3 linked regions of the Sus scrofa genome follow. The protein of the gene in region 1 binds, or shares a complex with, the protein of each later gene. Links are inferred from orthologs where the notes say so. Each region holds a gene or a part of one and is shown in the gene's direction. Other genes may lie near its edges.

Evidence for each region.
Region 2: the proteins of KRAS (region 1) and RGL1 are in contact, whole or in part, in a crystal structure (PDB 7SCX), measured with the Homo sapiens proteins. The link is inferred for Sus scrofa from reciprocal best matches to the Homo sapiens genes KRAS and RGL1. Residues at the interface, in NP_001356715.1 of Homo sapiens: Ile24, Gln25, Glu31, Asp33, Pro34, Thr35, Ile36, Glu37, Asp38, Ser39, Tyr40, Arg41, Leu56, Tyr64, Met67; in NP_001284600.1 of Homo sapiens: Ile651, Arg653, Asn660, Gly661, Asn662, Met663, Tyr664, Lys665, Ser666, Ile667, Met668, Lys685, Asn687.
Region 3: the proteins of KRAS (region 1) and PLA2G16 are in contact, whole or in part, in a crystal structure (PDB 7C41), measured with the Homo sapiens proteins. The link is inferred for Sus scrofa from reciprocal best matches to the Homo sapiens genes KRAS and PLAAT3. Residues at the interface, in NP_001356715.1 of Homo sapiens: Ala11, Gly13, Lys16, Ser17, Tyr32, Asp33, Pro34, Thr35, Ile36, Thr58, Ala59, Gly60, Gln61, Asn85, Asn86, Lys88, Asp92, Tyr96, Lys117; in NP_001121675.1 of Homo sapiens: Leu65, Tyr66, Asp67, Val68, Ala69, Gly70, Ser71, Asp72, Lys73, Tyr74.

Annotation. Positions count from the first base shown.
Region 1 is NC_010447.5:48,511,821-48,515,372, forward strand, and holds part of KRAS (GTPase KRas), read left to right. Parts: intron 1-1,553; 5' UTR 1,554-1,564; coding exon 1,565-1,675; intron 1,676-3,552. UniProt on the Homo sapiens protein: Ras proteins bind GDP/GTP and possess intrinsic GTPase activity. Plays an important role in the regulation of cell proliferation.
Region 2 is NC_010451.4:125,004,706-125,008,718, forward strand, and holds the start of RGL1 (ral guanine nucleotide dissociation stimulator-like 1), read left to right. Parts: upstream 1-1,174; 5' UTR 1,175-1,299; coding exon 1,300-1,647; intron 1,648-2,653; coding exon 2,654-2,764; intron 2,765-4,013. UniProt on the Homo sapiens protein: Probable guanine nucleotide exchange factor.
Region 3 is NC_010444.4:8,409,033-8,413,378, forward strand, and holds the start of PLA2G16 (HRAS-like suppressor 3), read left to right. Parts: upstream 1-1,507; 5' UTR 1,508-4,346. UniProt on the Homo sapiens protein: Exhibits both phospholipase A1/2 and acyltransferase activities. Shows phospholipase A1 (PLA1) and A2 (PLA2) activity, catalyzing the calcium-independent release of fatty acids from the sn-1 or sn-2 position of glycerophospholipids.

The DNA of each region.
Region 1 (3,552 bases):
AAGAAGAGGGTGAGGAGGTGTTTAATATGTTATCATGTGGAAAACCATGTAACTTTTTTGAGGGTAGAGGGTGGAGTGCGTATTTGGATAATTCTTGGTCTTCAGTAAATTGGATGCTGCCTTTGTATCTAGTGCTTATATACAACATCTGTACATTCATTAATTTAGAACCAGCTTATGCTGTATTAATTATTGTGCATCGACTTCCATTCTCTCCGCAATTCACTACTTGTTTGTAATAGTACCATGTAGTTATTGAGTGATAGGAGATTAAAGTAAGTAAGTTCATTTTTATCTCAAAAAGTTTGAAATAGCTGACTAAAAGAATATTTTCTGTCTTGCATTGTTAACCTTACAAGTTGGCAATATTTATTGCTACTGTTGGGAGATGATGGATGAGAAGCGGAGAATTAAAGTCATGTGCATTACTGAGAAATATTCACTTATATCTTTTAAAAATTCTTTCATTAAAAGCGGTACTTGCCTTTAATATTATACAATTACATTTTTGTGCAAAGTTCTATTTTTCAGCACTAATACAGAATTATATATGTGATCGATGATCATATCATCTGTACTGAATAGTTAGTTCAAAATTCTCAAAGTTCTTTTAGTTTTTGCACTGTTCTTTTCCTCAGCAGATACTTTACAGATTAAAATGTCAAAAATTATTGTCCTTATCTGCTTTGGCGTCTCAGTTTTTAGTTTCCCAGCGCACCATCCAGCTTTGACAGTCCTCTCCCCGCTCCATTCAGATTCTTGCTAACTCTTCAAGAGAACTTTGATGATGCTTTCAAAAAAGTTTTCTGTAGCTCTTGACTCCAGCAGAGACACTCAGCATATCCACTTGTAACTCTTGGGGCCCAAGTCAATGAGGATTACTGTGGCTAAAGTAGCCAAATTTTGTGTGGGTGTGTTCACAGGATATAGCGCAGCTTGCTCCTCACTTGTTCTGAGTGAAGTCATGGCCCACTCCTTTGAGAGCCATTAGCTGCTGCAGATCAGCAGATTGGCTCTTCAGATAGAGCAACCCGGAGTTCCCGTCGTGGCACAGTGGTTAACGAATCCGACTAGGAACCATGAGGTTGTGGGTTCGGTCCCTGACCTTGCTCAGTGGGTTAAGGATCTGGCGTTGCCATGAGCTGTGATGTAGGCTGCAGACACGGCTTGGATCCCACATTGCTATGGCTCTGGTGTAGGCCGGCGGCTACAGCTCTGATTAGACCCCTATCCTGGGAATGGCTCTAGAAAAGGCAAAAACAAACAAAAAAACAAAAACACAGCAACCTGAATCTAAGGTAAAAGAACTGTGTACTCTGAAAGCATTTTTCTCAAATGCTGATGGGGGCATTCATAAATGAAGTACAGTTCAATATATTGCACATCTGTGGTCAACGGGCGTTTTCATCGCTAAACTTTGTGAGGTATTTTGAAACAATTTTTCATATACAGGTCAATTTGTGTTAAGAGGGCTTGATAGCGTTTGGGTTATATTAACCTCATATGTGGCACATGTTCTAATTTAGTCACATTTTCATTATTTTTATTATAAGGCCTGCTGAAAATGACTGAATATAAACTTGTGGTAGTTGGAGCTGGTGGCGTAGGCAAGAGTGCCTTGACAATACAGCTAATTCAGAATCACTTTGTGGATGAATATGATCCTACGATAGAGGTAAATCTTGTTTTACTGTTATGCATATTGACTTGTGCAGGCCCATCCTTTGGGTACAAAAAAGGTTTCTCTGGTCATTTTCTAAAACTACGCATTACAAGACAGTTATTCTGATAATACCTAAGTTATCTGCAATGCACTTGGGTTTCAAGGCTTTACTCTGATGTTATATGTAACCACAGACATGGAGAGCCCAGTGTTGAGTCTTCAGTCTTCTCTGGGGAGAATAATACCATCTGCAATGTTCACTCTGAGCTAGTATATGTGCATTTTGATTGAAAGTGTACTTGTGAGTTTAGCAGAGGGTGAAAATGTGAACTTACATCCTATTTGTAAAAAGAGACATATCTAACAGTTATTTTCCTAAAAATGTGGCTATTGTCCGTATGGGGTTTTGGTGTTTTGGGGGTATATTTTGATGTCACATGTTGAATTGATGGGTACTGGTAAAGTGGAATCATTTGATGATGGAATTAAAAACACTTAATTAGTAGTATTTTCAAGTTTTCTCTTCACATTGAAGTACTGGAGAACCTGCAGCTACCTGTGTGTTTTAGAAAAGCTCATTCTTTTATGTATGTGTATGTTGGGTGATGTATAAGGGTAGGTACCACACTAGTCCTTACCTTTCCTGTGCAGTCCTTTTTCAGTGTACTGAAGGAAATATTAGAATTGTTTTTATTACAAATCAATTACTGTAATTTTCAGGCTTTTTCAGTTTCATGAGAATGTACCAAAAGCAAGGCCAACAGCATAATGATAGAATAAAGGCCTGGCAGAGATCTTGAGAGGTCAAATGATCTCAAGCAGATAGGGATTTATTTAATCCTAGAGACCTGCAAGGAGGGAACGGCACCTAACTGTGTTAACTAATTTCCGAAATGTAATTAGCATATTTTATGCATAATGTGAATCTTCCTGTTAAGTTTAACATAGCATCAGTTTGTCTTTGAAATAGATTTATGCTGTTAAATTATTTCCAAAAACTTCTTTACCCCAGCTTAAGTAATCCTAATTAATCCCTTACTTTTTATTCTAGATCTGATATACCAGTTTTTTAAATCAGCTCTGAAAAATGTCCCAGAATTTTCTCTGAGTCTCAAGCTACAGATTGTAGAACAGGTCAGAATGCCCTGTTAGGATGTTGTATAAAGTCTTCAAGAAACACCTTGACCACACTGAGGTAGATTCAAAGGGCATGGTTAGCCTTTTAAGACGTTTATGCAGGGTAGAACTTTGAGGATTGATTAGATAACTGCTCATAAGGAAATGTCAAATATTTTTGGTACTGCAGGGGAAGAAAATGGAAAATAACCCGTATTTGCAAAGATCTGATTTAAACATAGAAACAGCTTTTATTTGGCTTCCAGGTTTAATAATTTGCAGTAGCAAATGGAAAGAGTCTAACTAAGTGGACCACATATGTAATAGTCTCTATATTTCTTCTTGGCAAGTCACTTCAGTGCTGATGGTTTTATTTTTTTCCTTTGAGGAAGATTAAATAGTTCACCTATTTCTTGTCTTTTCTTCTTTTTTTTTTTTTTTTTTTTTTTTTTTTTTTTTTTTTTTTTTTTTTTGGCATTTCTAGGGCCACACCTGTGGCATATGGAGGTTCCCAGGCTAGGGGTCTAATCGGAGGTGTAGCCGCCAGCCTAAGCCACAGCCACCACAACTCGGGATCCAAGCCACGTCTGCAACGTACACCTCAGCTCATGGCAACACCGGATCCTTAACCCACTGAGCCAGGCCAGGCCAGGGATCGAACCCACAACCTCATGGTTCCTAGTCGGGTTCGTTAACCACTGCACCACAACAGGAACTCCTATTTCTAAAGCCAAGGTTACTAGGCATACTCCACCATTTAAATTGGAGGTAAA
Region 2 (4,013 bases), on another chromosome or scaffold:
GGTGAAATTGACCTTATGGGTTGCTTAACTGTCCCCAGGTGCATCTTGTATTCTTCAAGATCACTGAATAGGGGTGGGCCGGGGGACTGAGGATGGCTTAAGAAGCATAGAGGTAGGTTTCCACACGATTTTGCTCTGGACACTGGGAACACTCTAAACTGGTGATCACAGAAGCATCTAGTCTACGTGAGTTTTTCAAAAACTGGAAGCAACCCCTTCGGGTTTTATAAAAAGAGCATCCCTTCTCTCCACAGTTACTGAGCTCTCTAGGTTCTGGTTGTATGAGGGGAAGGAACTTTGCTGAGTGACTTCAGGATGTTCTCAACGGTTCAAAGATCTTTTTATTTTTCCTTGATGCACCCTCACTCTTATTTATTTTGCTCTCCTGGGAACATCAGCATATTTGATTCTCTAGCTTTTCGGTTCATAATATATTCTTCACCAAAGCCAGCCTTATGCCTTAGCATGGCCATTAATGAGAGGACTTTCTTTAGAAAAAGAAATTGAAAGGCGATTAAATTCATTTAGGGGTGAGTAGTATAAAAGACAGGCGCCCTAGACGTCTTTGCAATTGACATGAAATTCTGTTAGGTGCCAAAGTTTAACTGCATTACCATCTGGTATGGGGCTGCTGATTTACTTAATGTGATGACAAAACTCCTCCTGGCGGGCTCGTCATGAATGGCTCTTCCCCGAGGTACTATCCCACTGTGTCCCAGCAGTACAGACAACTCAACCCCTGGTGACTGCTCCCAAAGACTCACAGAACGTCGGGGGCCCACTTTCCTCGCTGTCAGTCTCAGCAAAACCCTCTCCTGCTTTGTCCCTTTCCCTCCCACAATGACCAGTTGCTGTTGGATGAGCCTCTTCATTGGGTGGAAGAAAGAAGTCCAGGGCAACTTCCTGTTGGTAGTGTGCTGATGCGGGACAGGGGACAGCCTTTGGGTATGGGTTTTGGAATACCTTCTGACCAGTTCTGTTTTTGTTCGAATGAAACACTTCTGGGCTTCCAGTATTGCCGTTCTCATGGGGTCGCTCTGATGGAATCTCATTCAATAGGTAACCGGCGGATAATTAGACGTTTTAATGATCCCCTCCTCCCATCCTTTTTGCATCTCCCCCTCCCCCTTTATTTCTTCGCGCTAAGGAAGGAGAAACACGCTTGGATCCCACAGACCACACCCGGGTCGTTTTAGGCACCTGGTCTGTGGCCAATCAGGCAAACCCGATCCACTTGAAAGGGTGGTTGTCTGCCGATCACCTTCAGAACTGGAGAAATACCGCACGCTAACTTTATCCATGGGATTTCCGAGAGGGAGCGTGTGCTCCGCAGCACAAACAGGAAAGCCTGACATCACGGAGCGGCGGAGTGGCGTGGGGAGGAGTCTGCGGCGCCCTCGCTCGCTCGCTCGCTCGCTGCGCTCCCTTTGTGGCCGAGCTGCGCGCACCGGCGGCGGCGGCGGCGGCGGCGGCGGGGCGGCGGGCGCGTGTCTGTGTTCGGTGCGCCGCGGCCGCTCGGGGCTGGGGCCGGAGGCGCCGCGGCAGAGCCGGGCGGGGACTGCGTTTGCCTGGAAGCAGGGCGCACCATGCCGCGTCCACACACCGGAGAGAAAACTGAGAATGAAATTGCTTTGGCAAGCTAAAATGGTAACGCGAACTCTCTGCCTTCTCCGAGGCGGCTCTGGTGGGGAATCTTCTCCCGCTTTCTCTGGGCGGGTTTTGGACTTGCTCGGAGTGCACGGAGCAATCCGATCCCTTACTTGGGAGGTCAGGCTTTCTCCCTCGGCTTCCTACGCCTTCCTCTCTGCGTGTCTTCTCCCTTTAAACCAAACTTTCTCAGCAGTTGCCTTTGGTGTGTCTGGGGCAGATGTGTGTTAGCAAAGGAAAACTTTTAAGCCAGGAGGACTGTGCGTCTGCGTGAACCGCGGGCACTTCTGCGTCCCGGCGGCTCTTTAAACACAAACTTCAAGTTTAGCTGGGGACAGGGAAACCCAGGGGGTCCCGCTGCACAGACTTGATGTGTGCCTTTTCTGCACTTGCCAGATGATCTGACAGAAATAAAAACTTTCTACCTCCCGCTAACTTTTTGGGTTCCCAAACAATGAGAGGAGAAAAAAAAAAAAAAAAAAAAAAAAAAAAAAAAAAAGGACATGCAAAGCATTTCACTCCAAAGGAGCGAGCACTCTTGGCATTTTAAACACTTGTTTTGGCAGTGTTTAAAATGTAGTTTGCTCAAATAACGGAGCCACTTAGAAAAGGGCAAACTTTTCCTGCGAATGACTTATTTTTCCTCGCACTTAAGGAGGAAAAGTTAATCAGGACTAAACCACCGTTTCTTTAAGAAGGGGGAAAGAGAAGACTTTTTAAAAAACCATTTAAGATATGTGAGCAAGTCTAGGAAAAATAACTAAATGGGAAAGTCCGGGACTCCTGATACCGCAGGAAAGGGCTGGGGGCCAAGAAAATCCCCGCATTCCCTCTGTTGCAATGTGTCCTGTGTTGCTCTGATTGTGATATATATACATATTTTTTGAACAGCCCCATCTTTTATGTCCCGAGTGCTGTTGTAAGCAGCTGGGATAGATTGCGGTTAGCAGAGAGGAAAAAAAAAAAAAATACTCTTTTTCTTTCTTTTTGTCCCACCCCCTGGCAGAGCTCGATTCAGGACTGGGGTGAAGAGGTAGAGGAAGGAGCTGTTTACCATGTCACCCTCAAAAGAGTCCAGATTCAACAGGCTGCCAATAAAGGAGCAAGATGGCTAGGGGTGAGTAAAGCTGGAGAGACTGTGAACTTTGGGCTTGCAGTGTCTGTGTTCTGTGAATATCATTATTTAGCAGAGGCAGGCTTTCCCTCCCCCCCCTTTCCTCCTATCATCTCTTTTAACCTTAAAAAAGGAAACTACAGTGACCAAGTGTTTGCAGTAGCAGTACTGGTCTGTTTTCCAAATATCTCCCTAGGTTTGTCAATAATTCAGAACCTCTTGGAAACATCTTGAGGTACTTGGCAAATAGAGTGGGGATGGAGTGGCAGAACGTAGCACAGAATTACAGGACCAGAAAATAGCCCAGTGTTAGACAAGAGCCATTTTGCCCGGATGGCACCCCTTCCTCTCCCTGTCTTTCTCCTGTTGATGCTGACATCCCTGGTCCTACTCCGTTCCTGTACCAAGTACCTGGAATGCTCGGGGGGCCTGACATTCCAAATCTGCTTCCTATGGTGGCGGGGATGGCAGATTTCCCATTGTCACCTCCTTTCCACAGCCCATGAGGAGGCAAAGGTGTGCTTTGTGCCCATGACTTCATGTACAGTGTGTGGAGAATGCTGGGTCTTTGGAGAAACACTGCTTCCATAAATAAAACTTTTTTTTTTTTTCCATTGAGATTTGAAAGTATCAGGTGGGATCAAGCGAGTTACTCTTTATTGCCGGATGGATCCTTCATCACATCCCAACTGAAGGGGGTGTGAGGAACGAAACGCTTGGGCAAACACCCTCATGCAAAGAAGGAAGGAATTCTTCATCTGGGGCTAGAAGCAATGCTCAGAGGGCGGACAGCCTTGAGAAGGAGCATAGTGGCAGGCGAATAGAGGAGGGTGGGGTGTGGTTTCACGTGGTCTTATTCTGGCCCCACTCAGGCTTCACAGCTGATGGGCTTGAGAGCCGTGAAGATTATGCTCGGGTGTCCTGTCTTTACTAGCTTCATGTTTCAGAAAATTTTCAGTGTTTTGAGCAGCATTCAAAGGTGGGGTGTGAAGGAGGACAGGAAGCAAAACTGCCCTGGACTTCACGTTAAGACCGAGGCAACATGTGACTTGCAATTCCTGGCGTTTAAGGCAGGATGCCCGGCAGCAATGGTTTCCTCTGCCACGGGTCTGCTGGGCTGCTGACACGGGCGGTCGTTGCTTTGGGCTTCCCCGGCTGTTTCAAGTCAGGCGTTTCCTGCTCTGTACTTGGGGTTGAGGTACCACCCACCAGGGTGGTAAGCTGTTAGGGACAGGTGTAGCCTGGAAAGCTA
Region 3 (4,346 bases), on another chromosome or scaffold:
GGTCGCGTGGTTCGAGGGAGGCCGCTTTCTCTGTCCTACAGAACAATACCGAATTAGTATCTTCCTAGCGAACGCGGGAGCAAGCCGTGCTGTTGGCGGTATTGCATAAGATTGGACCCAGATTTTATTTCCGGTAACATGGACTTGCGAGGGCCATGAATTTGTAGCTCTTTGATATGGTTGCCGCCTCTGAGCCAACAGGCTAAAGGGAGTGGAAGGAGGTAGAGCTTTATGAAAGGCTTTTCCTTTCACTGGCGACCTTGGAGGCGGTGGGGAAGTTGGCTTGAACTTCTCAGATACTGACTAATCCCTGGACATACTCCCTGTAGCCCTACAATAAAAAGATTTCTTCCCTCCTTTGAGACCCACTGCATGGGGTCAAGTAGCCTCCATCCAACCTGAGTGTATGTCAGGCACCAGGCTGGGAGTTGCACTGAGCTTATCACAGTTTAGTAGTGAAGGGGAAGACTCAACTTTTTATTTTTTTTTTTTTTGTCTTTTTGCCTTTTCTAGGGCTGCTCCTGTGGCATGTGGCGATTCCAAGGCTAGGGGTCTAAATCGGAGCTGTAGCCACTGGCCTACACCAGAACCCTCACAACGCGGGATCCGAGCTGCGTCTGTGACCCACACCACAGCTCACGGCAATGCCGGATCCTTGACCCACTGAGCAAGGCCAGGGATCGAACCCGCAATCTCATGGTTCCTAGTCGGATTGGTTAACCACTGTGCCATGACGGGAACCCTGGAAGACTCAACTTATGATGTGATACAAAGAGCATGGGGAGTGTTGCTTCCTCCATCAGCTTAAGCTGGGGAATGGGAAGGACCAGGGCGGGGGAAAGTGGTCACGTGTGTGGGTTGTGGGTGGGATATCAAGCAAACTACTTGCTGGTGCATTGACATTCTTGCCTTTGATTACCATAAACAATTTGCCAAAGAAAAAGTCCAACCTGAATTAGCTTAAAAAAAAAAAAGAATTGTACCTAGGAAAAAGTTTCTTGTAATTGGATGTCTAGAAATTAAAGTGACGTGAGGCATGAGAAGAACTCAAATGTCAGCATAGCTATAGTCTCCTGTGTACAGCGGCTGTGTGATTTACGCGTGCAGATGGATTTCCTCCATGCTGTGGGGGAGGGCAGGCTTGCATCATCCCCTTTAATGTCCCCAGAGGAAAGAGGCTTTTTTTTTTTTTTTTGAATTTTTTTTTTTTTTTGGTCTTTTGTCTTTTTGTTGTTGTTGTTGTTGTTGTTGTTGCTACTTCTTGGGCTGCTCCCGCGGCATATGGAGGTTCCCAGGCTAGGGGTTGAATCGGAGCTGTAGCCACCGGCCTACGCCAGAGCCACAGCAACATGGGATCCGAGCCGCGTCTGCAACCTACACCACAGCTCACGGCAACGCCGGATCGTTAACCCACTGAGCAAGGGCAGGGACCGAACCCGCAACCTCATGGTTCCTAGTCGGATTCGTTAACCACTGCGCCACGATGGGAACTCCGGAAAGAGGCTTTTTGACTCATTGCCTGTTTAAAAAATGTGTGTGTGATACATATGTATATATATATACACACACCTCCATCCCAGAGAAAGATTCTAACTGGTCTGCCTTGGGTCCTATGCTCCTTCCAGGGTGACTTGACTGTTGCCTAAGGGCTGAGGCATGATAATCAGCCAGATGTAGGTCACATGCGTCCTAGTCAGGGCGATGGGTTCCTGTGATCGTCAGCTCCACCACTATGTAGTCACCAGATGAAAGACTACTGGACACAAACCAATGTCCACTGCAGTTATCAGCTCCCCAGACTGGCCATTTAACAACACAGTGGAATGAGAGCCTGGAACACTGCAGGAATGTGCTTTGAAGGGGAAAGAGAGGTAGTTTTGCTTCCCATTTATGCAGAGGAAGCTCTTCAGGGCCTCTCAACAGGGGGTTTATTCTCTTCAGCAGGACTTGGGGTTCAGAGCTAGGCAATTTAGGAGGAAGTGATACTTCCCAAAACCCTGATTTTTCTGCTCAGAGCAAACGGAAAGAGGGTGTATTCACAAAGCCTGCCCAGAGTGGCCTGGATACACGTAAAAAGCCTGTGTTCAGTTGGCGATGGAGCACCTTTCCCCTTGGTTCCGGTTATGAGCTGCTGTTAGATGTCAGAAGCCCTTGTGTTACCATGAAACCCTTCTATGGATTCTGCTCCCTTAAATCGGTTTGCCTACCTTCTCCTCCCCTCTTCCCTCTCCTCGCCCTGGCCTTGCTTCTCGAATCTACCCCACCCGCTCAGAATCCCCACGGGGTCTCACACCTGCGACACAGCACATAGCCTTGGGCCATTTCCTCCCACTTGCTCACCTGTCCTTTCTTAGAGACAGCCCAACAATGGGGTCTCCCGGAGGAGCCATCCTCCTCCTCAAGGCAGAGACTTCATGATTTGGAGAGATTGCAAGTAATTAAAAATGTCTTCCATCCATCACAAGAAGAACAGAGCTCCATGGCTGTGGTTGCAGAAAAGCCTGGAGCCTTTGGAGGCAGATGGCAGATTGATCCCAGCTGTTTTGAATTTGGCTGTCCACCCGGGTCATGGCCATGGACTTGGAGTGGGGCTTAAGGACTGTCCTGCTGGTGACAGTGTCAGGATCGTGTGTAGCTTCTCAGTCCTAGGGCTTTTCTTTTCCTTTTTTCTTTTTTTTATGGCTGCACTGGGGCACATGGAAGTTCCTGGGCCAGGGCTTGGATCGCGGCTGCAGCTGGGGCCTATGCTACAGCCACCGCAACAGACACAATGTCAGGTCCTTAACCCGCTGAGCCACAGTGGGAGCTCCTCTGGGGAACTCCTCTTTTGAGAGCTGCATGAAAGGTAAAAATCACTTCCTTGACATCTTTGCCCCTCAGTGGGCTTTTTGTCTTGTTTTTCCCGGCAGAGCAACAGGGGAGAAAAAAAGTGAAGGCAGTGACATCTGGGCAATACTGGAAGAAGCGAGGCAGAAATCGGTCTTGTTTCCTCAGATCTGAACCTCTCCATCCTGGGTTCGGACTGCCTTCCAGATAGTAATTTGTTCAATATGCACATTTTGTTGGGTGAGTAGAAATGCACATAAAGCTCTGGTATTTATTTATATCGCCTCTGACTCTCCTTGCCAGGAATCTGGTGAGTAATGTGTGATGTTGATGAGCATGGGTCACTCCTGTTAACAACGGCTCAGGTGTCTTGAGTGAGGACTTACCCCAGGCCAGACATCAGCTCCCATGGTAGGGGCCTCCTTTCATCTGCTACTCTCCCTTTGGGGAGTGTATTTTTATATATTATCTCATGTGGCGTTCAATATTATCACCATTCCGTTTTACAGATGAACAGGAGCTCCCATTGTGGCTCAGGCGGCTTAAGAACCGGATACAGTGTCCACGAAGATTTGGGTTCAATCCCTGGCCTTGATCAGTGGGTTAAGGATCCGGCTTTGTCACAAGCTCCAGCATAGGTCACAGATGTGACTTGGATCCAGTGTCGCTGTGGCTGCAGCTCTGACTTGATCCCTAGCCTGGGACCTTCCCTATGCTGCAGGTGTGGCCTTAGAAAGACAAACAGATGAACCAACTGAGGCTCAGAGAGGGAAGGGTGCCCTGGACCCAGCAGCTTGCAAGTGACAGGGCCAGGATTTGGCCCACGGTCCCGATTCCTAGCTGGGTGCTGACAGGAAGTGGCAAGACTATAGAGATGAACAGGAGCTGCTTCTACTCTTGGGGAGTCACAGCCCAGTGCAGAGGAAAGGCCTGCGATGGGTCATTCATTCATTCATGAAATGCTTACTGTGTGCTGGGTTTGTGCCAGGGTTGGGGGATATCTGAAGGCTTAAGACTCGGTACTTTCTGTTTAGGCCCTTGCCTTTAAATAGCTTTAAAATGTAATATACAGAAGTCCCCGGGGATACCTTCAAAGCACCCTCCGCCCCCGCAGATGCCAAAACCGCGGGTAGGACGGAACCCTGCGGTAATCCCCCGCTTATCTGCGATTTCCTCTCCTGGTTTGTTATCCAACAGACCCCAGAAAAAACCTCCACATAACTTGGTTTTAAACCACAGTGTACGCGGCTAGAGTGGAGGAGATATTTGATTACAGTCCAGTGCGATGCGTATACCCTCTCTTGAATGCCGCGCGCGCCGCAGCGCGTGTGTAGAAGAGGCGAGGACGAGGTGGCCCTGAGCAGGGTCCCGGGGGCGCCTCCAGGCATGGAAGGCTGTGGGGAGACGGTCCGGGGGAACAGGAGGCATCCTGGCCTGACTGCCCCAGAAGCCGGAGCAGGCGGTCCCTGTCGCCGGGGCAGGGAGCTCATCGCGGCTGTAATTAGTCACACTGGGAGGAG